Alligator mississippiensis: one gene and its partner. The protein of the gene in region 1 purifies or fractionates together with the protein of each later gene. This does not show direct contact. Links are inferred from orthologs where the notes say so. Each region holds a gene or a part of one and is shown in the gene's direction. Other genes may lie near its edges.

Evidence for each region.
Region 2: the proteins of CSNK1D (region 1) and GAPVD1 purify together in Homo sapiens (affinity purification with mass spectrometry; 5 studies listed by BioGRID and IntAct, counting the BioPlex papers as one, with this or other methods). This does not show direct contact. The link is inferred for Alligator mississippiensis from reciprocal best matches to the Homo sapiens genes CSNK1D and GAPVD1.

What each region holds. Positions count from the first base shown.
Region 1 is NC_081831.1:124,395-132,152, forward strand, and holds the start of CSNK1D (casein kinase I), read left to right. Parts: upstream 1-4,696; 5' UTR 4,697-4,711; coding exon 4,712-4,853; intron 4,854-7,758. UniProt on the Homo sapiens protein: Essential serine/threonine-protein kinase that regulates diverse cellular growth and survival processes including Wnt signaling, DNA repair and circadian rhythms. It can phosphorylate a large number of proteins.
Region 2 is NC_081835.1:66,455,683-66,463,363, forward strand, and holds the start of GAPVD1 (GTPase-activating protein and VPS9 domain-containing protein 1), read left to right. Parts: upstream 1-4,582; 5' UTR 4,583-4,687; intron 4,688-7,681. UniProt on the Homo sapiens protein: Acts both as a GTPase-activating protein (GAP) and a guanine nucleotide exchange factor (GEF), and participates in various processes such as endocytosis, insulin receptor internalization or LC2A4/GLUT4 trafficking.

The sequences.
Region 1 (7,758 bases):
CTGGCCCCCACGGGGCACTGCGTGCGTCCGGGTATGCTCTGCTGTATGTAGCTGCTCTTGGCAGAGGTGCTCAATTACCGAGGTAGGTCCCAATAAAATGGTGAACTTTTTTTTTGAAGAACTTGCTTTGGCTTTTCTTGTACTTGTCCAGAGATCTCCTGGGCGTAGCGTGTGTGCATCAGATGACCCCGGGGTGGGCACCGCAGGGCTCGGAGGCGAGTCTGGCCCGTGGAGGGCCGCCCGTCCCGCCTGACCCGGCACCCCGCGGCAGGGCCGCCCCGCTCCGCACTCGGCGGCAGGAGCGCCCCCAGACCAGCCATCCGGACCGGCGGCGGCCAAGCAGGAGGTGCTGCTCGGCACAAAGGAGCAGCGGCCCCGCAGACTTCTCCGCTGCCAGGCCCTTCTTCCTGCAGCCCACGGCCAGACCGCCCAGCTGCGCACAGCCCAGGCACGGACTCCAGGAGGGACACGCACTGCGCATGCGCTCTAGAGCCCGGGCCTCCCAGTCACGCGACGGAACTCTCGAGAACGGCCATAAACACGCATGCGTACTTGGGAAGAGGCGGTGCGTCACGTTTGCCCATCAATGGGCAAAGCAAGTACGCATGCGTGAGGCGCTTATCACTTCAATAGTGAATAGCTCGATGGTACTGACAAGTCCGCATGCGCAGTAGTCTCAGACGTAACACATCGACCGCCGATATTATGGATTGTGCGTACATCCTGTCAAATACCAGACACTGGCAGAACAGGAGCCATGGATGGGTTTCCATGGTTACAGAGGCTCAATGCGCATGCGCACTGGGAATGACCGCTAGGCTTCTCCGGAGTCAATATTCGGGGCAGGGATGAACCCCCCCGCAACGTTTCTCCCGACCCGGAGCTTCAGCCACGCCAAGTACGGAACTGGCGTGTGGGAAAGCAGCCGCCACGTTAAGCTATCAGTGGGGGACACCCACTGCGCATTCATGGTACAGAGTGGGCTCCCCATAAAGTGCCGAAAGCGTCTATATCAGACCACGAAAACACATGCGCACTCAGGAAGAGACGATGCATCGCGTTTGCCCATCAATGGGCAAATCGACTGGCCACGCGCGGGCTGCTGAAGGGTTGATCAGCTGGGCTCCGAATTTATCGAGGGTTCTGGATCCTGCGCATGCGTACTGGGCGCTATCAAAAAAAACCGCGATCGCGGCGCATGCCTCCGGGGAATTTGCGGACGCTATAAGACCAAGCATCAGAAATAGATTTCCATGGTTACAGAAGGAATGACGACAGGACGAGAGCCAAAACTATCAAGGCGCGGGTCTCGGAGCGCATGCGCACTGGGAATGAGCGCTACGGACAATACTGGTGGCTCCGGGCCCACAGCGGAAGCCACCCGGGGCCGCGGCACCAGCGTCGGGGAAAGTGAGGCGGCATTAAGCCATCACTTGGGGGGGGGGTGGGACCCAGTGCACATGCGCTGTACAGAGCCAACTGCCAGTCGCGCGAGGAAAACATCGACGAGCATCCATAAGCACGCGTGCGCCCTAAGGAAGAGGGGGGCTATCTCGTTTGCCCACTAGTGGGCAAACCAAGTACGCATGCGCACGGCAACGAGTGGCTGACTCGTGCTTGTCAGTGTGCATGCGTAGTGGTCGCAGTCGAAGTGCGCCGAACGCCAATATTATGGATTTGCGCATTCGTCTTCGAGTCATGGTTTTGTTTCCATGGTTACAGAGGCGCTGATTAGAGGACCAGCGCGGAAGCTCGACAAAAACATCGATGAGGGGCCATGAACACGCATGCGTACTTAGGAAGAAGTGGCATATTGCATTTGCCCATCTATGGGCAAAGCAGTTGGGCATGCGCGGTGCAAGGTTGCGTGAATGGAACACTGAATTGAGTGATGTTGCTAGTAAACCCACATGCGTAGTGATCCCAAACGAAATACATCAAGCACCGAGACTATGGATTGGTGCATGCATCATTGGAATACGGGAGCTCTGCCAAAGCAGGAGGCATGGATGAGTTTCCATGGTTACACAGGCAGTGATGACAGGACCAGTGCCGAAACTATCGAGTTGTCACCTCCAGGCGCACGTGCATTGGGAGCAGGCTGCGGCAACCGAACGCCGGCACCATGGATTTGTGCCGCAAAATGCACATGGGGAACGGAGAGTGATGATGAGGCCAAGCACTGAAAGTATCTATGGGTGAGATCAAATGGGCAGGGTAAAACGGGGCAGGTGCTGTGGCCGAGACCCAGGTGACCCCTACAGGCCCAAGAGCAAGGAGCGACCCCGTGCAGAAGGGGCCAGGGCTGCATTTACATCACATGGAAGAGCCTGAGAAAGTGCAATAAGAATCTGTTTCTCCAGCCTTTAATAATATAGACAAGACTGAAAACCAGTAACTGCTTTCTGGACAGGTGGGAAAGAGCAGCTCAAAGCAGCACCTGATGTTTGGTTTTGTGAACCTGCTGGAAATTAAACTAGGTCTGAACAGCAGAGTAAAACACAACAGGGCAAAGAGCATTCCCAGGCACACAAGGAAAGAGATGAGCAGTGCTCCTCTATTCCAGAGTTGTATCGGACTCCAGGGACACAGGCCCCAGCACATTGGCATCTCCCAAGCCCACAGAAAAACAAGTTCACTCACATTCCCAAAGTTTCAGTGAAACACATTTGCATTACACCTATTGCTATCAGAACAGTGATTTTAAAAACCCACATATAAATTTTAGGTGTAAATGCAGGGAAACTTTACAAAGACTTTTGCAAAGTGGAAACAACCTGCTGTTAGCCTCCTCCCTCCTGCATCTCCCCAGCTGGTAGAGGTGAGAATCTGTATTGTGGTGTTGCAGGTAACTAGGCAGGCATAGATAGAAGTATTTATTCTTGTGCTTTGAGGTGTAATGAAAAGGTTGAGTTATAGACCTGTCTCTTGCTTCTCCTTCTGGCTTGGGTGGTAGTACCTTACTTGTTAAGAGGGAATGGAAGGTCCAAGTTGATGCACTTGCCTTTAAAAGGCTGGTGTTGCACAGAACAAACTTTGGGGCAGGGGCCTTTCATGGAGGTGGGCTTTCTTGCTCCCCCTTGTGTCCTGATGCCCCCATGAGCAGATAGCTGGGGAGAGGAGAGGGACAGGAGGGTAAATAGTGTTAAGGGGGGCTTGAGAGGAAGACTGGTAGCAAAGGTGTAGAGGCAGCATGCAGGGCTTGAGAAGGTGGGTCCCCACCTCAGATGGGACCCTGGATGGCATGGCTCTTGCACTGAGACTGTGGAAAAAGGTAGTCAAGGACACAAAGGTCCCCCAGAGACAGCAGAAGGCCACAAGGTTGGGGTGGGGCCAAGGAAGGTTTTTTGGGGGGCAGACCCATGGGGTGTAGGGAGTCTTGGGGGTGGGGTGAGGGCCTCCTGGGGGTAGGCACTGCTGCCCTTAGGGTCCCAAGGAACTGAGCTAGTATGGGGAGGGGGCTCTGATGACATGTTAAGAGGATGAGTGGGAATCCCAGGGCCCCCCAAAACTTAGGGTCCCCAAAGGTCAGTGAGGGGCAAGGCTTCCTGCAGTGGGGTGCAACTAACCCGGGAAGGTGGGGGTGGGGCAGGGTGAGGGCAGCCATGAATGCTGGAGCCCCAGTCTGGTCTGGGGGGCCCTCCCCACCATCCCCACTCCCAGCCTGAGACCCATCCTGTACCCTACTACTCCTCACCTTGTTCTGAGCCTTCCTAGCACCCTCCTCTGTTGGTCAGCACCTGCAGCCATAATCCTGGCCTGCACCCCCTGCTCTCTGACCCCCCACCTAGACTTCCCTCAAGTCCTGTCCCTGCTCACCACCGCCTGGGTCTCCCTTGACTGCTGCCCACCCCCCACACCCGACAGGCGTTGTCCTGGTCGCTGCCTGTGCCCTGCCCCATGTGCCGTCTGCCAGGCAGGGGCTGTTTGGAGGGGCCGCTGCCCGCACTGCAGGGCCTGCCCCTGCAAGGAGGCGAAGGCCCCAAGGACGTCGCGCCTGAGAACAGCCGGGACTGGCCGTGCTTTGGAAGGGGCTGAGGGAGCCAAGCTGAGCCCGGCCCGGCGTTCCGCCGCCGCCGCCAGAAAACGAGGTCTGAGAGTGTGGTGCAAGCAGCAGGTGGGGGGAGGGCTCGGTCCCTCCGGTTCCTGGGCTGGGCTCGATCCCGGGCTCCAGGGCTGGGAGACTAGGTCATCCCGGACGCGCTTTTGTGCCCGGGCCCAAGCGCAGCGGGTCGGAAGGTGGGACCCGCGCGCCGGAAGCGGCCGGAAGCCCCGCCCCGTTGCTACGGAAGTGAGGTCACACAGCATGGCGGCTCAGGCCGGGGGCCGCTGAGGAGGCGCCGGGCCCCCGGGAATCCGCGTCCATCCTCCACCTCCCTGGTGCCGCGCGCGGTCCCGGGGCCGCGATGGTGCCGGGCGCCGCCAGTCTCTGAGCCGCGGGCCGCGCCGCCGCCGCCATGGAGCTGCGCGTCGGGAATCGCTACCGGCTGGGCCGGAAGATCGGCAGTGGCTCTTTCGGGGACATCTACCTGGGTAGGCTGGGCCGGGCGCGGCGGCGTTGCGGGGCCGAGGGAAGCCTCTGACTCGGCGCGGCCCGGGGCACCGATCGCCCGCGCCGTTCCTCCCCTGCGACCTTGGGCGCGGCGGCGCCCGCCTGGCCCGGCCGCCGGTCGCGGGGCCTTGCCGGGCCTACCCGAGTCCCCGGCGGAGGATGACTCGGGACCGCTCCGAACGGGCGTCCTGCAACCGGCCCGTCTTCCTGCTTGGCCGCGCCTTACCCCGGGGTGCGCGGCCTCCGGGAGCGGCTCCACGCCGGAGCTGCAGGCAAGGGCCTGGGGGCGACACGAAACTCGGTAGGAGCCAGCAGGGTGCCCTTGTTGCCAAGGCTGCTCACGGCATCCTGGGCTGCATTGCTAGGAGCGCTGCCAGCAGATCGAGGGCACCATTCTCCCCTGCTATTCGGCACTGGAGAGGCCACATCTGGAGTCCTGTGTCTAGCTGTCCACATCCTTTCTGTTGTGGGGGGCCCACAAGTTGGAGAGTCTAGCGGAGGGCAGTGAAAATGGTTCAGGAGCTGCGGGACAGGACCGGTGAGGAGAGGCTGAGGGAACTGGGCTGATTGAGTCTGGAGAAGAGAAGACCGAGGGGATTGAATAGCAGCTTCACCTCCCTGCAGGGGGGCTGCAAGGAGGATGGAGCTGGGCTGGTCTCAGTGGGGGCAAATGACAGAACAAGGAGCAATGGGCTCTAGGTGCAGCAAGGGAGGTTTAGGTTAGATGTAAGGAAAAACTTCCTTAGTCAGAGGGTAGTAAAACACTGGAACAGGCTCCCCAGAGAGGTGGTGGAGTCTCCATCCTTGGAGATTTTCAAGACCCAGCTAGACAAAGCCCTGGCTGGGATGATGGAGTTGGGGCTCGTCCTACTTTGTGATGACCTCCCTTCTAGCCCTAACTTTCTGTGATTTCTGTAAACTGCTTTTTTTGGTATAAACCCCCCACCCTGAGGCAGTGATCCCTCAATTTTGATTGAGGCCACTGTACCCCGTTGCTAATTTAAATGTTAAGCAAAGATTTTGAATGTGCTTAAGAGGAAGTCAGAATGACTTGGGTCTGTCTGAATTTATTTTATGTAAAATAAATGTTTATATGTAGCACGTTGTCTTGGAGGGAGGGGAGTTCTTGAAAACTGGGGTAGTTTTCAAAAGGTAAGTCAGAACAACGCTTTTTCTTGTCTTGACAGTGACAAAGTAGCCATAGGTCTAGTTATTTTCTTTTTGAGCTCTTTTGTGCATGTGGTCAGTGTAATAGATTTGCCTACAAACTATTAATTTTTTTCTCCTAAGCCACATTTTTAATTCAAGAGGCTGTATGTAATCAGAAATAACAGCTAAATGAAACTCTCTTTGCAGGCTCTCAAGGTTGCTTATCCTTGAGTAAAATGTGTACTCAATGAAAACTCCCTGTTCTAGCTGATGGCCTATGAACTTGGGGGGGTGGGGAGAAATTTGGGGGCTGTTTCAACGCCTCGTGTATAAGGCTGAGGAAAGTGGTGTGTTGCTATGTACATGTTATGCCTGTATTTCAGAACTTCCATTGGCTGTCTTTGGATTTCAGGCTGCACTTTACAAACGAGAGAGAGAGCACCTTAAACCTGGTGGCTTGGTGCCTACCGGTCTAAAAAATGGTCTGCAGAGGGAAGTCAAATCAGGCTAAGTCATGTGTGAATGTAAAGTAATAGCTGCTCCTAATGACCTTCCTCTGGATATTGTCTACACCACACAAACAAAGAGATTGTTCCTCTTCCCACAGCATTCTGCAATAGTTTCAGATCAACGGAGGCTTTTGAGTTGATATATAAAAGGAAACTGACTTGTATCTTTCCATTTTTGTGGTTCTTAACTATGGGAACAAAGATGGAAGCAGAGTGTGGGGATGGGCAAGTATTTGTATCGCAGTACTGTACTAGAGCTCTAAGGTATGAAGCTAGCTGCAGCACTACAGCATTAGTCCCATATTTTCTGTCTTAGACAATCCTTAGAGGGCATTGCTTGCAGTGCTTTCTGCTCGAGGGTCCTTCACCTTCAGATTGTGCTCCCTTTGGGTCCCAAATGACTTAAAACAGCCAATCTGAAAACATGATGGTTAAAGGAAGTTACTGTATCCAGCTAATGATGTGGATTTTTTTTTTTCCAGCAAAATCTAGTGGGGTTTTTGTCTGTTTGTTTGCTTGCTTGCTTGTTTGTTTTCAGGAACAGCCCTTTGGTGACTATCCTGAATTCCTAGTTTAAATCTTAATTTGTTTGACTACTTCTTGTTCTGATAGGGTGCTTAAAAGCTCACCTAGATGATGTTCAAATATGTTGACAAAAACAACAAAAAATCTGAGCCTTTCATGTTGGCAAACTTTTTTTTTTTAACTGGCATGTGCTAATTTCTTCCAACCATTTTAAGTAGGGAATAACAATTAAGAGTTGTTATATTAAAGGTTTTAACTAATCTATTTTCTTATACTGGTTCACTGCCTAACCATAGATAGCTTTTGATATCCTTCAGCAGATGTTAACGTTTCATCTACGTTACTGAGTTGGCTGTGTGTGCGTGTGCGCCTTCCATTACCCCTCTGCCTCTTTCCTCCCCCCAGTCCTTTCCTAGTACACAGTACAGGATATGCTGGAAGAGTAAAAAGAGTTGGGGAGGGACTCTGATGCGAGTGGAGGAAGGAGACTTGCCCAAATGTGCCTTTAGGGAAGGTAAGCAATTCTGCCCCAGCCCCCTGTGCTATTGTATTTCTGCTCCCCCCCCAGCTGTAAGGATTTAGAAGAGTATCCTGGTGACTACTTACAGCAATGGATTCAAGAAGTAGAATTTCAGCCGTACTTAAATTTTTTAAGTGACTTTATTGAGAACAAATTTGGGGTTTAATATGCCTAGGCCTTTGAAATTAGCATCCTGATAAGAAAACAAAACTGCAGGGGTTCTCAAATGTTTTTTAAATTGTACAAAGAATGTCCAATATAGAAAAAGAGAACAGTAGGAATAGTAAGCTGTTCTAATATTTGATAGGTTAGGCCAAAACTGGTATAAATGCTACAAGCACATAGCTACTTTGTGGCTTCTGCATACTGTTTGCTTTGCTAGCGAAGACTCCTAACTGTAAACAGCTAAAATCAGAAGGAGAGCATCTCAACATATTTCAGCCCTTTTTCGAAGTGAAGAAATATTCATGCTGTCACACTTCATGACAAATTATAGAAATTTT
Region 2 (7,681 bases), on another chromosome or scaffold:
GGAGGTTTCTGGTTTAGCTAAATGAATGTTATATTTCATTCTCTCTGTCATTATTTATTTCTGCTGTCTGTTCACATGTTTGTTGATTTAATCTTTTTCAGAAACTTTAGGTTAATGATGGAAGTCGCTGTATCTAACCTTTGGAGCAGTGGCTGTGAACCGGGGGTACGTGAAGCCTCCTCGGGGGGTGCGTGAGATATATTTCATACATTGTCTAACACAGGTCGAAGGGCCTAAAAACTTAATTTCCCATTGCAAGGGGGTACATGAAGTCTCACTCTGAGCCCAAGGGCTACGTCGACTGAAAGAGGTTCAGAACCGCTGCTTCAGAGGAACGTTCTCTCTTGGTGTGTGCATCTCCCAGGAGTTGGTCCTTTTCAGGGTACTTGTCTTCTCTCCTCAGCAAACGTTATGTAGATAAGCGTGCTGTATTCCTCTTCCTAAATCGCATGCTGGGGCTTGATGATGCTTGTTCAGTTCCCTAGAGGGAGCAATATCATAATGCCAGCGGATATTCTGGGTTACTGTTGCTTGGAATACAAGGTGGCAACTGGCTGTGTTGTACCTGATCTTATCAGGGTATCATTTGCTCCGTAGTTTTGTTTGACTACTATGTCTGGTCATTTTGTTCTATTTATTACATTTTTTTCTAAAATATTACCCCAAAGCATTTTTCAGATATTTAAAAATAATACCAATTAATGAGGGTTTCTTCCCCAGAAAAAAGCCCAAAGTTAAGAGGTGATGAGTTCACAAGAAGACTGGCACAGAGCGCTTTGGTGGTGGTGGACATAGTTATGGAAAACCATTGTCCATCATAGCAGGTGGCTTGCATGGAGAACTCCAAGAATAACCCAGGTACCGCTCTCTCATGGCAGTCAGTCTGCCCCAATGCTCCAGTGTCCTAGGGGATGTCAGTCCTACGGGGTGTTATGCCAATATTTGTGAAGAGCACTGAAGTCCTTGAGCATAAGGTTCTTAGTGTTAAGTGATCTTATTATTCATATATAATTATTGCTAGCGGTTCCATCCTTAAATAAGGCTGGAATAGAGATGCTGAAATAGAGATACTGACTCAGATACAAGGATTAAAAATCCCTCCACCTTTTCAGAAGAGTAGATGTTGCCTTGACCAAATTTCATGTGAATTCATACATTCCAGCAGCCTGAATTCTTCCTGCTGTTTTAACTAGGTGCAAGATTCACTTTGGGAAGGAAGGAGGGATGCTGTCAAGGGATTAAGCTGAGGTTTGGGGTTCTGAATTCTATCCCTTGCTATATGAATAATTTCCCTTGTGATCGTTCTTAAACGATTTAATCATCTCAGGCCTCAGCTTCCATCTGTAAAATGTTGCTGACAAATACTTTTCTATCTCACAGGGCAGTTTTGAAGTTAATTTAATGTCGTAAAGCTCTTCAACTCCTTGGATGAAAGGTGCTAAAGAAGGGGGAAGTAACATACTAGTATTATTATCGCAGTCTGGTTATTACTTATGTCCTACCCAGAACAATTACAAAGTGCGGGTGTTCACTATTAAACAGCTGCTCTGTTCCATTCCAGAGGTAACAGAGCTGACTAATCCTGCCTTCCGAAGGGTCCCAGACCATTAACAGCACCACTCCAATGTCTGCTGTCCGCTATATGGCTCAGGCTGTTAAAGACAAGATTTTCTCCACTATTTGTAAAAGCACTCAGAGATAAAAGGTGCAATGGAAATGTAGAGATTATTGAAAGGTATCATAAAGAGGACTGCTGGTTAGCTAAGTGGCTCTGCAATAGACTTTACCTGTATAGAGGCAGAAAACAGAAATGTGATCTGTAATGAACAACTGATTTTTCACACTTCTTTTATATTTAAGGGAAACATGACAAAAGCCAGTCTACCAGCACAGGAGACTGTACTTGTTATCCTCCAGTCACTTCACCTCAGGGAGAGGTCTTTTCTGGACCGTGTCCCCAGTTCAGAGATGAGTTGCTTTTCAGGGTGCTAGTTCTTCCTACAACCCAGATGTCTCCAAAAATAGATGGGAGCCAGGGGAAAGTGAGCAGAACAGGTGGGTTAGCAAGTGCTAAATAAAGAAGGTGTTACGGTTGCCATTTAAAATCACCGTAGTTGGGGGAAGGGAAGGAAGAGTATAAATCCACTGACTCGGGTGGAAGGAAGCGTATTGAAAAAACAAACACAAGATATGCAGATGCACCATGTAACACAAGTTAAAAAATGTAGTTTGCTCCTAACTGCTGCAGGTAGTCTCAGTTTCCGTTATAAGACAAGATTTCATATATTCAGCCTTTCCAAATTGAGAAGGAAGAGCTAGTTCCTGGTCAGGTCTGTCTTTTAAGCACTACCTGTCAGAACCTGATCTGTTATAACTTATTTAAAAGTAACAGGATCAAGCTGCCTCTTCAGAAAAAAGTGAGGATGTCTTGCTTCTAAAGTCAAGAAACACTGAGCTACAGGAATAGTAGCTGGAAACGTCACTCACTTGATTCAACTGTCTCAAATCTTGCCCTTTACTGTACTGTAAGTGATAAAGCTCTCTATGCCACTTCCTCACCCACCCAAAGAGGCTGCTGCAGAGGTCTGCATGGCTCGCTCTCTCCTAGCTTGAAAAACACGTATTAAAAATAATTTTCCAAATACTGATTAATTAGACAAAGTAATTTGAAGAACTTTTATCCTGTCTGAAGTCCTGGTTCACCCAGATTTACAATATCTAAAGATGCACTGAATTTAACTGCCACCACAATAAAAAATAATAATGACTTAAAAGGCAGTCAAATCTCTTCCTCTCCTGTCCCATCTTTGCGTCTCTTTGTGTGACCCGTCAGCTCAGTCCACCATGGCACGTTGCCAGCCGTCATCTGTTATTTGCCCCTTTCACACTGCAAAATCCATCGCCAGCTTTGGGTACCTTCCTCACCCACTCTCTTTGCTTTCTTGGGGCTGAACTGTTCTGAAAGGTGTGGGCTTTCATCATTACAAAGCTCTCTCATCATTTCTTTTTCGTGGGAAAGCTGCTCTGCAGCTACACTCCCCTTGACTGCCAGGCCCATAGAACCAGGCACCTTTGAACCCCTCCATCGGCCTCTCCCATGCAAGGTCTTGCCTACATCTAAAAGAGAAGTTGGACCAGTTCATCAAGTCGCATACAAGCTCTTGCTTAAGGTGCTACTTTGGTCTTTGAAGCCGGTGACAGGATATGTTGAAACTATCTGAGACCACTTCTTCTGTTTTCTGTTGTGACAGCCAGATGGACCAGGACAGCCTCCCATGCACCCACAGTAGCGCAGCCACCCATCCTATTTTGCTGAAGGCTCTGGTTTTTGGAGCTTCCTAACACCTGAAACCAGGGTGTGAAACCGTCCTGACATGTTTAGAAGTAACATCTTGTACAACTCATCTCTTCGCACAGGCTGCTCCCCAGTTTAAAGCGAAGGGCCTAGCAACAGCGCTCAGATGATAGCAGCCCTCAGTGACTAAGAGCTGAGAGGGGAGGTGCTGGGGTCTTACTGCAGGTAGATGTCCTTGTGCCCTGCAGTTATGCAAAGGATGCCTGGATGCCAGCCCCGTCCGAAATTCGGAGGGGATCGCTCTACATCACTGAAATGCTAACCTACAGAACGTGCATGTTAGAGCGTCATGGGCGTGAGCATTTGAATTCAGTTGTTTGCTCGTGCCTCGGGAGCAAACTGCTTGAAGTGAGATGGTTGCTTTGCTGCCGTGGAAGTTTCCTGTCTTCAGATAAACCGATCCCTGTACAAGATTGCAGCAAGCAGGGGAAGAAGAGCACAGATACCTCTGCAGACAGGCCTTACTGATTGATTGCACGGGAGCCAACTGCTGCTGGACTTGGTGGTTCTTGAGCGGGGACAAAGCTTGATCCACAGCGCACGCTGGAGCGCTGCTAAACCGTCCTGTTCTGCGTGGCACAGGTAGTAGACACACGTGTCTTGTGCCGCACGAAGTGGGAAGGCAAAGGCGGGGAGCTCTCATCTACTGTCATCGCAGCATAAAAACCAGCGGAGCGGTGCAAAGCCCGGTAAAACCTTGGCACGAGAGCTGCCCCCCTCGAGTCAGACCCCAAAGCGGGAACAGCGGCGGGAGGGGCCCGACCTAACCGTGCGGAAACTACGAGTCCCGACAGCCCCCGCGTGCGCCTTCCGCATGCGCAGTGCTGCCTGGCTCGTCCGGGTCTAGGACTACGGCTCCCGCCAGCCCTCGCGCGCCCCTCCCGCATGCGTAGTGCTGCCTGGCTCATCCGGGTCTAGGACTACGGCTCCCGCCAGCCCTCGCGCGCCCCTCCCGCATGCGCAGCGCGGCCCTGGCTGGCCCTGGTATAGAACTACGGCTCCCGCCAGCCCCCGCGCGCCCCTCCCGCATGCGCAGTACGGCCCTGGCTTGCCCGTGTCTAGAACTACGACTCCCGGCAGCCCTCGCGCGCCCTCCCGCATGCGCAGTACGGCCCTGGCTTGCCCGTGTCTAGAACTACGACTCCCGGCAGCCCTCGCGCGCCCTCCCGCATGCGTAGTGCGGCCCTGGCTCGTCTGGGTCTAGGACTACGGCTCCCGCCAGCCCCTCCCGCATGCGCAGTGCGGCCTGGCTCGTCCGCGCTGAGGCGGCCCGTGAGGTGGCGGAGCGGCCGGGCCGGAGCTGAGGCGGCGGCGGCGGCGGCACAGGCACAGGTCGGCTAAATCACCCCCCCCGCCCCCGGCCCCTTCGCGGCACCTCTCCCCCGCCTGGGACCCGAGCCGGGCCCGCCCCGAGCGGGCTGCAGTCCCCGCCGCAGCGCAGCGCAGCGCGGCCCGAGGCCCGGGCTCCATGGAGGGGAGGCGGCGGCGGCGTCCGTGCTGCGTGCCGTCCCCGCCCTGCTGCTCGGGCGGCGGCGGTGGCGGCGGCGGCGGCGGGGCTGCTGGAGCGCGGCCAGGCGGTGCCCCGCGCGCGGGCCGGGCGGGCTCGTCTCCGCGCTCGGGGCCCGCCGCGGGCCCGGGCCTCTGGCCGCGCGCTCGCCCTTCCTGGGGGCGGCTCCCCGCTCCGCCGGGCCGCTGCCGGCGCCCAGCCCGTCCTACGCACGGTTTGGCGGGGCGGGACGGGGGTCGCCCCCGCCGGTCCCCGCGGCGCTGCAGGGTCCGTCACGCCCAGGCGTCGTGCGGCGCCTCGTCCTCGCACGTTGTCTCTCCGCACACGCGCGTGGCCCCGTCTTCTCTCCGTGCCGCCGCCGCCGCCGCCGCGCTTCTCCTTTCGTTCCCAGCCACGCGTAGGACCTCTCCGTGTCGTCGCGGGGCCGCGCTCGCGCCGTACGTACCTATAACCCGAATCGTTTCCTCCCCGGTGTTTTATTTTGCGAGCGCGGCAGGCGCCGCGACGTGGCGCGGGGCGTTGCGCGCCTCGAGCGTGGAAGGAAAGCGCAGGTGCCGATGCCGCGAGCCGCCGTGGGGAAAGCCTCTCCAGTTCCTCTTGGATGGAGTTTGAGTCGGCGGAGACGCCCCGTTGCCCGTCTCTAGTTGCGTTTGTGGCTGGGTGGAAGAGCTGTCTCTAGTCCCTTTGGAGGAGCCGCCTCTTTCTGACCTGTGCCTCTGTGACGTCGGTTGTGGGCATTTCCACCGCGTGGTGTTCGCCTGCCATCCGTCGTGCCCAGCTTCCCGCGCCCGTTGTGCCGTGCGTCCTGGTCGGATTGCAGGGTTACTTCCGCTTGCTTGTTCTTGGTTACGAGCTTCAAAAAGAAAGCTCCGGGCTGTCACTAGCTGCGCTGCGCTGCGCTGCGCTGCGCTGCGCGCTGGCTGGGTGCATCGGTTTCCTGTCTTCTAAGGCTTAAGTTCTAATTTTCTTAATCCTCCTTTACTGACAGCACTCGCAACGAAACTTGAACGGGCAGAGTTAATTTCCAGAGTGTTTCTGGGCAGGTGCATGATGTTTAACATGCATGTGGGAGGCTATATGCATGTCAAGTCCCCACAGCCTTGTGTGCTGTTCCACGTAGACCAGGCGCAGGGCCGCTTACTGAGTTTTGGCAAGCCATCGACGGCCACATGACAGGCAGCCAGCAGCAGATAAATATTAACTTTCTAAATTTTTTAAGGACCCCATAGGTCAGCTAGAATGGTGTGGCGGGCCGCGTTTTGCCCACCCCGATGTAGACAGACCCTTGCATGGACATAGTGCTGTTAACGCCAGTGGGACTTGGCCCAGGGGATGTCACCAGCATTCATCGATGCAGAATATCTTTTGGAAAAGGGGACTATATTAGCATGAAATGCAAACAGACTCTCTATTATTCTGCTTCTCTGAAAAATTCTCTTTTCCTGACACACTGTGTCCAATCCATTGCAAATGCGCTTTTCCGAACTGATTTTTGTGTGGTTTCTCTTCTTGGCCATTGGTGAATTCTGCTAACAAAACCCCTTCTTTGCCTTCTGAAAACCTCCAGAAGTTTGACTCGGGGAGCTGATCCTATGTTTGACAGTTGTAACAGTTCTGAAATTCAACTTCATTTTTGTATAGGGGGTTTTGTAATGTCTGGATGAAAACTATATCTTTGTTTCCCTTGTCAGCTTTTCCTTGTGACCTTTTCCTTTGAGTTTCAAGATTTTTAGGTAACATGGAAATAACATCTTTAGAAATGAGGTTTGGAGTAAATGAAAATGATCTTCTGGGCAAAAAAGCAGTTATGGAGACTGAAAGATAAAGGTTCTCCCTTGTAAATATGGACAGCAATCTTATTTTAAAGTGTTATCAAACTCAAAGCCTTGACACTTAACAAGTATTAAAGACCTTGAAGATTGTAACCTATTCATTTTTAGTGAGTCAAAACAATATTTGTGTTTGGAGCTGGGGGATCTGCTTTCCACAACTTCGTGCGCATGTGCTATGGCATAATTTCCCCAGACTTTCAAGCTGATTTTCCTTTTAACTGTGCACTGAAAATAAATGTTTAAGTATGCTAAAATAAACTTGTGGATACAGACAAAAGTGCTGGGCTCCAAGTCTGTAAATGCAAGAGAGAGAGGAATTACAATATGGTTTAGTAGTAATTGCATATCTGTATTGATTTAGATTTATAAAATGCTGGAATTAAAAGATGCTAGTTTAAAAACTGTTAGCCTTTGACCTAGACTACAAAGGCAAATCATTACCAATTCTCACAGGCTCCTGACCCACCACTCCTGGGTGTGTCGAGAAGAATTTGACCATGTAGCGTGTGTTGAAGGTCAGCAGATCTCAGAGACTTGAAACCAGTTCCATTTGTTGATCCAGAAGTTGGGAGCCGTTCCCAAAGAGCAGTCTGGCCACTTCTCCTCGGATCCGGGGCACTCTAGTTTCTGCATTTCGGCTGGTTAATTTCCAGTATGGTAATACAGCACATGAAGTGAGACGGTCGGTTAAGAAAGTCCCACATTATTGGGAAAATTTATAGTTTCTAAATATCTCCACACTTCTTGGTTTTTGTTTTGTTTTGTTTCTTCAGCACAGGAAATGATTGTATAAGAAATAAGGCCATTTATTGAAACATGAGCTTTTCCTAGATATGGTGTATGTCTAACTAGTTACTAAGAGACCAGTCGCCATATTCAGGACATAGAAAAAGTAAGGGAATTGTCACAGAAAATTCTCTCAGAAAAGTGTTTAGTTCCTAGGCTAGATGTCAAGGGACTAGAGACTTCCAAGGAAGAGAATACAGA